Oryzias latipes: one gene and its partner. The protein of the gene in region 2 purifies or fractionates together with the protein of the main gene of each other region. This does not show direct contact. Links are inferred from orthologs where the notes say so. Each region holds a gene or a part of one and is shown on either strand. Other genes may lie near its edges.

Evidence for each region. The genes of interacting proteins can lie anywhere in the genome.
Region 1: the proteins of copz1 (region 2) and arcn1 fractionate together in Homo sapiens (co-fractionation; 5 studies listed by BioGRID and IntAct, with this or other methods). This does not show direct contact. The link is inferred for Oryzias latipes from reciprocal best matches to the Homo sapiens genes COPZ1 and ARCN1.

What each region holds. Positions count from the first base shown.
Region 1 is NC_019871.2:31,555,050-31,561,994, reverse strand, and holds the start of arcn1 (coatomer subunit delta), read left to right. Parts: upstream 1-2,689; 5' UTR 2,690-2,959; coding exon 2,960-2,962; intron 2,963-6,945. UniProt on the Homo sapiens protein: Component of the coatomer, a cytosolic protein complex that binds to dilysine motifs and reversibly associates with Golgi non-clathrin-coated vesicles, which further mediate biosynthetic protein transport from the ER, via the Golgi up to the trans Golgi network.
Region 2 is NC_019865.2:12,849,175-12,856,274, forward strand, and holds the start of copz1 (coatomer subunit zeta-1), read left to right. Parts: upstream 1-2,854; 5' UTR 2,855-2,934; coding exon 2,935-2,952; intron 2,953-3,398; coding exon 3,399-3,467; intron 3,468-4,153; coding exon 4,154-4,235; intron 4,236-4,328; coding exon 4,329-4,420; intron 4,421-4,830; coding exon 4,831-4,886; intron 4,887-4,990; coding exon 4,991-5,068; intron 5,069-5,184; coding exon 5,185-5,236; intron 5,237-5,329; coding exon 5,330-5,368; intron 5,369-6,687; coding exon 6,688-6,735; 3' UTR 6,736-7,100. UniProt on the Homo sapiens protein: The coatomer is a cytosolic protein complex that binds to dilysine motifs and reversibly associates with Golgi non-clathrin-coated vesicles, which further mediate biosynthetic protein transport from the ER, via the Golgi up to the trans Golgi network.

The sequences.
Region 1 (6,945 bases), on a different chromosome or scaffold from region 2:
AGGTGATGAGGAGGTGATGGGCAGGTTTGGTGTGAAGGAAAGGAATCTGGAGGGACAGATGGTGGTGGACTTTGCGAAGAGGATGGAAATGGCTGTAGTCAACACTTACTTCCAGAAGAGAGAGGAACATAGAGTGACATACAGAAGTGGAGGTAGGAGTACTCAGGTGGACTACATCCTATGTAGACGAGGTCATTTGAGAGAGGTTAATGACTGCAAAGGGGTGGTAGGAGAGAGTGTAGCCAGACAGCACCGCATGGTGGTGTGTAAGATGACTCTGGAGGTCAGGAAGAAGAAGAGAGGGAAAACAGAAAAGAAGACCAAGTGGTGGAAGCTACAGAATGAAGAAACTTGTGAGGAATTTAGGCAGAAGTTGAGGCAGGTCCTGGGTGGTCAGGATGAACTTCCAGATGACTGGGAAACTACAGCAGAGATTATCAGGGAAACAGGTAGGAAGGTGCTAGGTGTGTCATCTGGAAAGAGGAAAGACGGTAAAGAGACTTGGTGGTGGAATGAGGAAGTACAGGAATGCGTCCAGAGGAAGAGGTTGGCTAAAAGGAAGTGGGATGTAGAAAGGACTGAGGAAGGTAGACAGGAGTACAAGGAAGCGCAGCGTAGAGTGAAGAGAGAGGTGGCAAAGGCCAAACAGAAAGCTTACGATGAGCTATATGACAGGTTAGACACAAAGGAAGGAGAGAAGGACTTGTACAGGCTAGCCAGACAGAGAGACAGAGATGGGAAGGACGTGCAACAGATAAGGGTGATTAAGGACAGAGATGGAAAGGTGCTAACAACCCAAGAGAGTGTACAGAAAAGATGGAAGGAGTATTTTGAGGAGCTGATGAACGAGGAAAATGACAGGGAAAGAAGGGAGGAAGATGTGGTTGTTGTGGAGCAGGAAGTAGCAGAGATTGGAAAGGATGAGGTTAGGAAGGCTCTGAAAAGGATGAAGAGCGGAAAGGCCGTTGGTCCTGATGACGTACCTGTGGAGGTATGGAAGTGCCTAGGAGAGACAGCAGTGGAATTTCTAACGAGGTTGTTCAATAGGATTTTAGAGAGTGAGAAGATGCCTGAGGAATGGAGGAGAAGCGTTCTGGTTCCGATCTTTAAAAACAAGGGTGACATGCAGAACTGCAGCAACTATAGAGGAATAAAGTTGATGAGCCACACAATGAAGCTGTGGGAAAGAGTAGTGGAAGCCAGGCTTAGGAAGAAGGTGGAGATTTGTGAGCAGCAGTATGGTTTCATGCCCCGTAAGAGCACCACTGATGCCATTTTTGCTTTGAGAATGTTGATGGAAAAGTACAGAGAAGGTCAGAAGGAGCTGCATTGTGTGTTCGTAGATTTAGAGAAGGCGTATGACAGGGTGCCGAGGGAGGAGCTGTGGTACTGTATGAGGTCGTCTGGAGTGGCAGAGAAGTATGTCAGAGTAGTTCAGGACATGTATGAGAGAAGTATGACGGTGGTGAGATGTGCTGTAGGTCAGACAGAGGAGTTCAAGGTGGAGGTGGGACTACACCAAGGATCAGCTTTGAGTCCTTTTTTGTTTGCTATGCTGATGGACAGGCTGACAGACGAGGTAAGACAGGAATCTCCCTGGACAATGATGTTTGCGGATGACATTGTAATTTGCAGTGAGAGTAGAGAGCAGGTGGAGGAACAGCTAGAGAGGTGGAGGTTTGCTCTGGAAAGAAGAGGTATGAAGGTCAGTCGTAGTAAGACAGAATACATGTGTCTGAACGAGAGGGATCAAGGTAGAAGCGTTAGGTTACAGGGGACTGAGGTGAAGAAGGTGCAGGAGTTTAAGTACTTGGGGTCAACAGTTCAGTGTGATGGGGATTGTGGAAAAGAGGTGAAGAGGCGAGTGCAGGCAGGTTGGAGCGGTTGGAGGAAAGTGTCAGGAGTGTTGTGTGACAGAAGAGTGCCAGCAAGACTCAAAGGAAAGGTGTACAAGACAGTGGTGAGACCAGCTCTGCTCTATGGGTTAGAGACGGTAGCAGTGAGACAGAGACAAGAGGCTGAGATGGAGGTAGCAGAGATGAAGATGTTGAGGTTCTCCTTAGGAGTGACCAGGTTAGACAGGATAAGGAACGAGTACATCAGAGGGACGGCTCATGTTGCCTGTGTTAGCGACAAAGTCAGAGAAGCCAGACTGAGATGGTTTGGACATGTTCAGAGGAGGGATAGTGGATATATTGGTAGAAGGATGTTGGAGATGGAGCTGCCTGGCCGGAGGGCAAGAGGACGGCCAAAGAGGAGATATATGGATGTCTTAACAGAGGACATGAAGTTGGCTAACGTTAGGGTAGAAGATGTTCATGATAGAGTGAGGTGGAAAAGGATGATTCGCTGTGGCGACCCCTGATGGGAAAAGCCGAAAGAGAAAGAAGAATAGTAACAAAAAGAGCCAATGATTGAACCAAATCACCTCTTTTGTAATGAGAAAATATTATTATTGTGGTCTACTTCTGCAGGTATCATAAAGAAAGTACCTTAATGATGAAACGGGGCTCATGTTACACATTTCAATTCTGAAAATTGTCATGTGTATGTAATTTGTAAAGTAGAACAGTTTGGATGTAAATTCACAGCACTGGTCGGAGGTTCCTGATGGGGCTCGTGCCGTTGTTCCCTCTCACTTCTTAGTGAGTAGTGGGTGCGACGCAAAACGCTCGCGGCACGCGTCTAAAACCGGATCAATCTATGGAGAAACTGGGCGCTCGAGCGTTTCCACTCGACAGCTCCAGGTTTTGGTGTCCGCGTGACACGTCACTGTTTTCCACGCAAGCTGATCAGGGCCGCGCGCTCCTTCCGGTGGAGACGTGGCTCTGCGGCGGCCATATTGACGCTAGCAGTCCGTGGAAGCCGCGCGCGTTGTCAGAGACTACAGTCCCTGGACCAAACTCAGAACCGGAACCACGAGAAACGGACTCCAGCGGAATCCCGAAGACAGACCACAATGGTAGGTGTCTGTCCAGAACCGGACCCCCCCTGCTCCAGTACGCGTCGGGCCTGCAACTAGCATAACATTGGCTAGCAGCTAGCTGCTGCGCTTCGGAACGGAACTAAAGTCAGGAGACGCAACTGTCCTCTGGTTTGGTTAAGTTTGGGTCCAGCACAGACTAATAGTGCAGTTGGACACGTTGTCCATTTAATTAGCTAGTACAGATAGCGAGGCTAGTGTTGTCAAGCCGGACTGGACCGACCGAACTTGGTTGATGACGGGTCGTGTTCGGCCCGGGAGTAATTCTGTTCTGTGTTGGCTGTGAATGTCATTAAAGTTCTGTTAGTGTGACCCTAGCTGCTGTTTGTCAGTACCAGAGTTCGTATAAGATTTTAGAAGAACAAGAACAGTTCGGTCCTGCTCTGTGTGGCAGCTGCCAAAGACACACAACAGTGTCATGATTTGGCACACCGTCCATGTTCGAGGTTCCGAAGGGTCCAGTGGGGAACTAATGGCTCCTGTCATCAGGTCAGAGTTCTGAGGTTTGAAGATCTGGAGTTTTCTGTGATTCACCCAAAATATGCCCCAATTCATCTGGGAAGCATTCCAGACGCTAAGGTTTGTGGGTAAATGAATCGCATGAACTGGAGTGCACTCTGGGTACGTTCATTTATTTATTTGAGGTAAAACGTCAATATTTTTTTCATAAACGTCAATAATACCGCATAAACAATTTAAGTTGAATTTATTTGTAAATATAAACGACTCAGAACACAGCAGTAAACAAGACTAAATACTTCATAATGAGCATGAGAAAAACAACATGCACTCTGTCTATCAGAAGTGTACAGCTCGGTTTCACCTAGAGGTTCTGTCAACTGGCACCTGGTGATCACCTTGTGGTCGCCGTGGTGACCATTAGGCCTGTTAACTTGTTTCCCCGAATGTCCCTTGTCTGCCTAAGCTGAAGTGAAAATATGACAGACTAAAAATGAGGATGTTGCCAAACTAAATGTCTCTCCGATGGAAGGGAGTCATTCACAAATGAATGAAACTACATGTTCATTCATTCCAACCCCATTATTTTCAAAGACCCACTCCAATGGAAATTGTATTTGTGGTGTCATTAACTTGTTCTTGTAGCACTTATAATGAAGGACATGTATCAAGAAAACTAAGCTGAAAATTTCATTTCTGAGTAATTCTTTATTCAAATCGTTGTGAATCAGAATGGGGGGGGGGGGGGGGGTGTGATGATGTGTTACATACAAACTACAATCATTAGGCCACAGGCTCCCTGCTCCAGTCCAGTCTGATGCATCCACCTGGGATCTGGATCCAAACTGAAGGGCTGGATGCCGTCGAATTAAAAACATTTTCTTTTTTTCTCTACCAAACAAATGCAACCACAAGAAGGCACAGTCCAGTGCTTTCATGTGCCTGTCAAAGGTGTGTCAGGAAGGGCATCTGGCATAAAACCAAAGCAAAATCAAATATGAGAATCTCAATCAAATTTTCCTTTTGTGTGGTTTAATTAACTCTTTAACACTGGAGCTTTAGCTTTAGTGTTGACATTCTTTCGACTACGGTAACTCTTCAACAGTTGATGCAATTAACGTAATTCCAGTGGATTCTGCAGCGGAGAAAAGCATCTTTATCTTGACATCCAACACTTACAGTAGTGATATGCTTGCCCAATCAACAAGTCACCCAATCAACACTTCTGTCATGCAGTAAAGCAGCTTTGCACCCAGATTGATGCAAAGCTGGTCTTCTCTGCTTCAGAATCAGCTGATTAACTGATCGCCAAACATCAAAGATTTACCATCAAAAAGAGAGAATTGTTTAGACGTCACTGGAGACATCTCTGGTGTTAATGACTTGTTACTGGTACTGTTGACCTAAAGCGGGGGTGTCAAACTCATTTTCACCGAGGGCCTCATCAGTATAGAGGCTGTCCTCAAAGGGCCAGATAAAACTTATACATGTAACTAAAAATAAACGTAACTGCTCCTTGATGTTAAATAACTCATTTATTTATTTGTTTTAACTTTTTGAAGTGACCATTACAGTTGCATAGAAAACATGTTTGCTTGTTACTCTAGCATAAATCCTTTGAAATGTTGTCCTCTTATTAAAACCCACGATCAAACTGTCCACGTGAATAAATAACATCAAACTGAGCTAGAAAGAACACGTATGACACGTGTAACATTTTACAATAAAAGGCTGCACACAGCCGTGCATCCAACTGATGGTTTGATGACAACAATTTGTCTGCATACACACATAAGACCTGCAAACATTGAATAATGACAACTGCAGCTACACATTAATAATATGTAATCAACTAAAAAAAATATTATAAGAGATTAAAAACGTTTATGCTGTGGCAGGCCACATAAAATATGGCGGGCCACATTTGGCCCCCGGGCCTTGAGTTTGACACATGTGACCTAGAGGGTTCATGTGCACTAATGCTGGTCAAAGGAGGAGAGGAAGGAGGTGTGGCAAAACTGGTACCTTGCTTTTTCTCTCTTTGGCAAAAAGAGCAAATGAAGTGTGGCAGTTTAGGAGAAGAACCTTTGATTATAGAGACTTTAACAGGGAAAATACAGTTGGCCAATACGTTAGAAAAAACATGGATGTACTGTGTGTTTGACAGACCAGATGAAAATGCAGGACGTTTTATTAACTGGGAGCAGAGTTGAAGCTTATTTCTAATGGTGTGTGCAGAAAGCAGAACAAAGAAGGTATGATCCACAACCCGCCGACGACATCTATACATCTATAACGACTCGACTTTTCATGGGATAAATGGGAATCAGCTGATACCAAAGCAGAGGAAAGCGTCTTTTCATATCTGCTTTGTACTGGCGGCTGAATGAGACCACTTTGTCTGTGACAGAATCCACTGATTGTGTAAATACTTCACTACTGTAAAGTGTCCAAAGAAAGTCAGTCAATTTATTTATATGCACAATATACCCATCCTTCTTTGCAAAAGTTTGGATGTTGTCTGTTTTCGTGGGAAAAACGCAGACACACTGCAGAGGCCGGCTCTAGGTTGATATCATGAAATGGGCGGCACCCAAAAGGAGAGAAAGGCGGAGCCTCAGAGATCGAGCCGTCTTACTTCATGGTTGGAAAATGAGCTGCAAAAATAACTAATATTTCTTTAAAAAAATAGCTCTTTTGTGTGGCAAATGTAATATGATATCATATGCATGGACATAGTTTACTATAAAAGGATTAAGAATAGCATCATATGGGCCTTTAAGTACTTTTACAAGAAATCACAAAAATTTGTCGATTCCTAATTATTTAAAATTCACAGAATGATTCCAAATCATTTATGGGTCCTAATTGATGCATCTATTAATCTAATAATCTAGTGTCAGATGTGACTTGTGTTGAGTCTGTAAAAATGAAAGGTGAGAGCAACCATGTTGTTGTTTTAGAGACCATTGCTCTGACGCAGAGCTGGAGGTGAAGGTAGAGATGTTGAAGTTCCCTTTGGGAATGACCACGATGGATCAGGAGTGAATCCATCAGAGGAAACGGCTGATGTGGGATGTTTTGGAGATGAATTTAAGGAAGCAGATTGAGACGTTGACAAGGGTGACAGTTGTTGTGTTGGTAGGAAAACTGAGGTTTGAGCAACTAGGACGGAGGCCTTTAGGAAGACAAAGAAGGAGGTTTTTGGAAGTAGAGGAAGAGGACGACGTGATGAAGATGGTTGGTGTGAGCAGAGGATAGGATGGAGGTGGATGATGCACTGTGACAACCACTAAAGGAAGCAGCCAAAATGAAGAAGAAAAAAATCATGCTAGTTCCTGTCTTTGTTGGTGACTGAGTCCTCCCTTTTAAACAATTGGGGAGGACCATCTGTGGATATTAAGTGAAGCTAAAGTGGGAAGCAGAAGGACTGCGACTTCAAGACTCAGGAGATTTGATCAAGCAAGTTGGGTAGAGAAGATTCTAAGGGTAGGTACAGATGG
Region 2 (7,100 bases):
ACGCCAAGTGATGTCATTTATGGAATACGATAGAGGGAAATCCCCATCAGCCATGGATTTTAAAACACTTCCCAGAAGAATGAACTAAGATAATTGGAGTTGGTTAAATGTGGGAGGATCCTGGAAGAAATAGAAAAAGAATAGATGCTGATGGTGTTGACTATAAACTAATTTAAACTACAACAAAAATAGAATTCTAATCTCGGCACAGTGTTCTATGGAGAGGTGGTAATATTTACTCTGATACATTTTTTGAGTACTTTAAAAAAATACACATCTTAAAATGATTTAACTGGATTGTGGGTTTTACTTTTACTTGAGTAAATGTCCATCCATCAGTCCACTTTATAAACTGGCTAAATTCATTTCAGGGTTTAAGAGCTGCTGTGTATATATATATATAAAAAAAAACAATGCCCCTCTCACCCTATGCGGGTGGTTTCTCCTCCAAGCTCGGGTCCTCTACCAGAGGCCTGGGAGCTTGAGGGTCCTGCGCAGTATCTTAGCTGTTCCTAGCTCTGCGCTTTTCTGGACTGAGAGGTCTGAGGTCTTTCCAGGTATCTGTTGTAGCCACTCCTCCAGCTTGGGGGTTACTGCCCCGAGTGCTCCAATTACCACAGGCACCACTGTCACCTTCACTTTCCAGGCTTTCTCCAATTCTTCCCTGAGTCCCTGGTATTTCTCTAGTTTCTCATGGTCTTTCTTCCTGATGTTCCCATCGCTTGGCACTGCCACATCCATCACAACGGCTTTCCTCTGTTCTTTATCCACCACTACAATGTCTGGTTGGTTTGCCATTATCATCCTGTCAGTCTGTATCTGGAAGTCCCACAGGATCTTTGTTCTCTCATTCTCTACCCCTTTCAGAGGTGTTTCCTATTTTGACTTTGGGGTTTCCAGGTTATATTTTGCACACGAGTTTCTGTATATTCTTCCAGCCACTTGATTGTGGCGCTCCATGTATGCTTTCCCTGCCAGCATCTTACACCCTGCAGTTATGTGCTGGGTTGTTTCAGGCTTCTCTTTGAACAGCCTACACCTTGGGTCTTGTCTGGTGTGGTAGATCGGAGCCTCTATGGCTCTGGTGCTCAGTGCTTGTTCCTGAGCTGCCAGGATGAGTGCTTCAGTGCTGTCCTGTAGGCCAGCCCTTTCTAGCCATTGGTAGGACTTCTTCATATCAGCCACTTCAGTTATGGTCTGGTGGTACATCCCATGCAGGGGCTTGTCCTCCCATGAGGATCTGTCCTCCAGCACTGTATCCTCTGCTCTCCATTGCCTGAGACATTCACTGAGCACACTGTCATTTGGGGCCTTGAGCTTGATGTACTCATGCATCTTGGATGTTTCATCCTGGATAGTGGCTTCTACGCTCACTAGTCCTCGGCCTCCTTCCTTGCGGTTAGCATACAGTCTCCGGGTGCTGGATTTGGGATGGAACCCTCCACGCATGGTGAGAAGCTTTCGTGTTTTCACACCCTTGGTCTGTATTATTATTCCTGCAGGGCATCTGATAACTGGCAGTGCGTAGTTGTTTGTTGCCCAGGTCTTGTTCTTGCCATTGAGCTGGCTTCTCAGGACTTGCCTTACTCGTTGGAGGTATTTAGCTGTTGCAGCTTTCCTTGTTGCCTGCACCAGGTTGCCATTTGCCTGCGGAATTCCAAGGTACTTGTAGCTGTCCTCAATGTCTGCCATTGTTCCTTCTGGGAGTGAGACCCCTATGTGTGGACTACCTTGCCTCTCTTTGTCACCATCCGGCTGCATTTTTTCAAGCCCGAATGACATCCCAATGTCAGTACTGTACATCCTGGTGGTGTAGATCAGGGAGTCAATGTCACACTCACTCTTAGTATATGGCTTTAAGTCATCCATGAGGAGGTGACTGATGTTGGCCCCATTTCTGAGTCAGTATCCATAGCCAGTCTTGTTGATTATTTGGCTGAGGGGTTCAGCCAAATAATCAACGTCTATCTCTATCTACTCTCTCGAAATGGACTAGATATATATGGACAAGCAGTAGTGGTGCATAGGGGTAAAGATAAACAACATTTATGAGAGAACAAACTATTTTATACTTTAAAATACAATAAAACTAGTATAATATCTTTGTAATGGCAAGGTACATTTTTAATATCAGTTATCATGATAGCCCGACCCAATAGGAAAATAACAGCATACACATAATGCATGCTTTTTTAAAAGAAATTCTAGACACTATTTGAGGTCTTGTGTTGCTAGAAAAAAAAATCAAGCAAGGTAAACTGTCCCCTTCATTTTTTTTTAACTTAAATGTTTCAAGATCTGAAAATTCCAGAATTAGCATATTAGGTATTATACCCCCCCCCATTCCATAAATCTAAAAGTCAATGTAAATAATGAATGAATGAATGAATGCTATTACTACTTTAGTACAGTGCTTTTAGGCTTTTTGTCTAGAGTTCAATTTACTTTTATAAATTGCCAACCAATGGCTTTCTAGTCTCATAAAAGTGTGTTAAAAAAGGAGAAGAAAAAAACGAAAGGCAACCCCCCCCCCCCCCCCAAAAAAAAAATAAGCTTTAGGAAATAGTTTGAAAGATTTTGACATCATTAGTTGCTCATCTTTTATTTGCCATTTGAAAGTGGCTATTTTCTTTGCTAATATAGATTTAAATTTAAGGTTTGCTGGATAATGGTAAACAAATCACTCGGATAACAAAACAAAAAACATTGTGGTTCAGATGTGATCGAACCTGTGCTATTAATTTTATGTACTTAAAATAACAAATCATAATTGATCAATTGCTGGCTTAAGGAAAATGCAAAGTCAATGTTGTAAATAATTTCTGTAAAGACCCCGAGTGGAATTGAACTTTGCGTTTGCGCGTGACGTAAAATTCCTCAACTCTACGTATTACGTAAGTTAGAGCTGTGCTAGCCTGCTGTTAGCTGGTGAAGATGGATTCTCCCATACTGGTACGACTGTGTTTAAGTTTCCTCTTCAAATATAGTGTCGTTTAAAAAAATGAAAGACTATTATCCACAGAGAACTATTTATTGAAAGGCGGGTAAGGGTGTGGTTTACTGTACAGCGTTATCCGGTCGTCTAACTACCGTAAGAGTTGGCTAACGAGCTAGCTAGACCCTGCAAAGTTAGCCTTATGTGCCACTTTCTTTTCTGATGATGTGGAAGTGTCCCGTCTTCCTGGTCACACTGGCTAAAAATGAAGCACTACTTCGAATATTGTTTTCCACTATTTTGTGATCGTTACAGTTAGTCCCATTTGTCACAATGTTTGTTCTGCCATTCTGTTAGACATTTTTCGTCGTTCGCGTCCCGATTCGATTGTAGCATATGTTAACTTAATGTTTATATAAATTGAATGAACATAAAACGTAGGTGATTCTTGTTGTCATTCCAGGAACCATCCTTGTATACAGTCAAAGCGGTTCTCATTCTGGATAATGACGGAGAAAGACTTTATGCCAAGGTGTGTGTTTATTTATTTATCTGTTAAATAAAAGATTATGTCATATAATACATGACATAAAAACAAAGATAGTTTGTGTTTGTAGGTCAGTTATCCAAATGCTAGATCAATGAAAAACAAGAGATGAAGTGTGGGTAGTTGGAAACATGATGCTGGAAACACTGAATAAACCTTAGACCACCTGAAGAGGCATCTTAATTAGTCAGAATTCACTCAAATGTCCTTTATTATGTGAGGTATTTATATTAAAAGTTGTTTTTCCTTGAAAAAATATGTTTCATTGTCAATTTTAATAAACCGTGTAATTGTCAATTAGTAACATTCAAAGTGCATTTCCTATAAAGTTGTCTTCAAATAATCAGGAAAACATATGCCTTCCTAAATACTAAATATATTTAAGCTGTACTATAAGTTGTTTAATGCATTTGCAAGTTCAAGTCAATCCAAATTGCTAAATTAGTAGCTTAGCTTAGTGGGGAAACGGCATTTTCTGATCAGGTTTTACCATTGCCCACGTCTTTTAATTATTTTACTTATATATGTAGAAATTTATTGATTACTATCTAGTCATTAATATGGTTTGATCGGATACAATAAATTGTGTATTTATTAAAAACCTACATTTTGTTTACTGATGTAGAGATAGTTTTTTTTCAGAATCTTTTGTAATGCGATTGTATTTTCAGTATTACGATGACACGTATCCAACGGTGAAGGAACAGAAAGCGTTTGAGAAAAACATATTCAACAAGACGCACAGGACGGACAGTACGTGATGTTTTACAATCAGTAAATAAAGACTTAGCATGATGCTGTTTAAACACAAAAAGTTTATTTTGTTTTTCTTTTCTGTCCACTCAGGTGAAATAGCTTTGCTGGAGGGCCTGACTGTTGTGTACAAGAGCAATATAGACCTCTTCTTTTATGTGATCGGGAGTTCACATGAAAATGAGGTAATTGTTTTAGTTGACATTAAAACATAAAATTGACATTTAATGATTTTTAAATATTATAATAATACAGCTTCATATTCAAATACGTTTTAAGAAACCAACCTAAGTGTGAATACATATTTCATTTACACTGGTAAATGTGTTTTCTACTGTGATCAATACTGCTGATTTTTTGTTATTTCAAGCTTTTGTTTTTAAAATATTATTTTGGGTAGATTTTAATATGACACATTTTTAGAACGTGGATTTCTGCCGTTTCTTAAGCTCGTCTACTTGGAACTAAACTAGTTCTCCAAATTCACAAGTTCAAACTTAGTTTATGTTTTTAATGTTTACTTTTCATACGTTGTCTTTGTTTCAGCTTTTTATCTTGAACGTTTTAAATATGTCTTTGTGTTTCATTTCAACAGCTGATGCTTATGGCTGTTTTAAATTGCCTCTTCGATTCCTTGAGTCAGATGTTGAGGTATGCATTTGTCTGCAAATATTTATAGCACCTTAAATGGTTTAAAAACGTTTCTAATATTCAAAGAGTTTCAGCTCTAAGTTTATTTCTTCATAACTTTTTAGGAAAAATGTTGAAAAGAGAGCCTTGCTGGAGAATATGGAAGGACTCTTCTTGGCTGTGGATGAGATCGTAGACGGAGGGTAAGAAATGAGAAGCATAAAGCGTCTTGAAATGTGTTCTTTAGGGGAAAAAAAAATCATACGTTACTGTGTCTTCATTTTGTTTCGTAATCGTTACTATGACTCCTCACTTTCAGAGTAATCTTGGAGAGTGACCCACAGCAGGTTGTGCATCGTGTAGCCCTCAGAGTAAGCTCCGCTCCGCTCCTCTTCTCTAAAATATCTCCATTTGATTGGACAGTAAATGTGCGAGCTGTAAATACAATGCATTTGTTCTTGCAGGGAGATGATGTACCTTTGACAGAGCAGACAGTCACCCAGGTGAGGACAACATCCCTACTTTACCCCTCACTCTGCTGTGGAGTTTAAAGATCTATTGAGTGTTTAAAGTCATTACTTTGAAGTTTGAATATACAAGGGTACTGTTATTGTCATTTTCTTTTTCTGTATGATTACTTGCCTCCAGGCTGACATATTTTGTATCGTCACATATGCATAAGTGTGCAAATGATCACTGATTATTCAGTGGTAAGGTGGTAGCTAGCCAATAATGGCTTCTGCCATTTAGTGTCTAGATGAGTCTGTGTGTGTGTGGGTGTGTGTGTGTGTGTGTGTGTGCGCGCATATGTATATACATATATGTGTGTGTGTGTGTGTGTGTCAGGGCTCCACTTGATTAATGTTGTCATTTAAAAGGTCTGGTACTAGCTTCTACCATTCCTCCTCTGGCTATGATTAATGTCTGTGTCCAGCCATCATACTTTATGGTTATGATTTGGCCTTCATTCAAGAAATTAAGATGATTAATTAGACCGTGCGTATTTCAAACACCCTTTTTTTCGGTTCAGTATTTAAGCAGCAATTTTCAACTTTCTTATGTTTTAAATCTTATCTTATTTCACTTTATATCTATTTATTTTGTTTTTGGCCTTGGGATCATATCATCTGATTTCCTTTAATCTGGTGACATCTTAATGTATTGATGCTATTTTTAGATGTTCATAAAAACATTCAAATGACAATTGTAATTCTAAATGTAGAAAATGGTGATGCATTTGACTTTAGACCAACTGTCAAATAGAAAATGCTGTAAATATCACCTAGTTCGGAGTTTTCTGCTTCTCTTTTCTACGACATCAGTTATTTGCATTTTCTTTGAATTGAGGATATTGAAAAAAGAGAATTCTTCTAAAAGTGATTGAGGTGCAGCAGAGGCCATATTATTATCTTTACTCTGCTCCTTTACCTGCTCTCTGACCCATAATGGGAGGTTCAAATTGAAGGATTGTACTTTGTAGGTAAAGATTAACTTTTTGATGGCATAATTTAACCTCATCCGAAAAAGTTTTTGCCCTAATGAATATCACTTGTTTTTAATTTTTTACAATTTATTTAATGTCCACAGTGTGGACAACTCTGAACTGTTTGTTCGGGTTTGTACTGGAAATAATATCGTATGTCAGTGTAAAGCTGTGCAAACGACAATAAATGAAATGAAATGATTTTTGATAATTGAATGATTCTCATTAAGCAAACTGAAACTGTTGCCTTTTTATATTGTTATTTTTTTTACGTTCAGAATTTGATCTCGTATTCTTTTTCTAAAGAAGGTTACAATAAAAAGTCCTTTTCTTTCACAGGTACTGCAGTCTGCCAAAGAACAGATCAAATGGTCGCTCCTTCGATAGTCCTGTCCAGCAGTGAGCCGCTGTTCAGCACAGACCACACGGCACTGATCATCATACTCCCTTTTTTTTAAAACTTCCTCTTATCTTTATGAAGTTGTGAGGAGTATCGCTGGCTGATCATTCTGGACTTCGGTTTGAAAATGTAATTTCTGTGATTTTTTTATGTTCTGCCTTTCTCAGTATAATCAAAGTGAAATGTATGCATTCCAGTATGGACAGGCTGGTGTTGGTTTACTGTATCATTTATGAAACCTTTAATTGAAGCAGAATTTCCACCCGTGGAAGTGAAATACTGAAGAACATCATTGTCCAGCTTGTGACCACATTCCTTGTGTCCCATGTTCTCAGATCTGTTTGAAACGGTA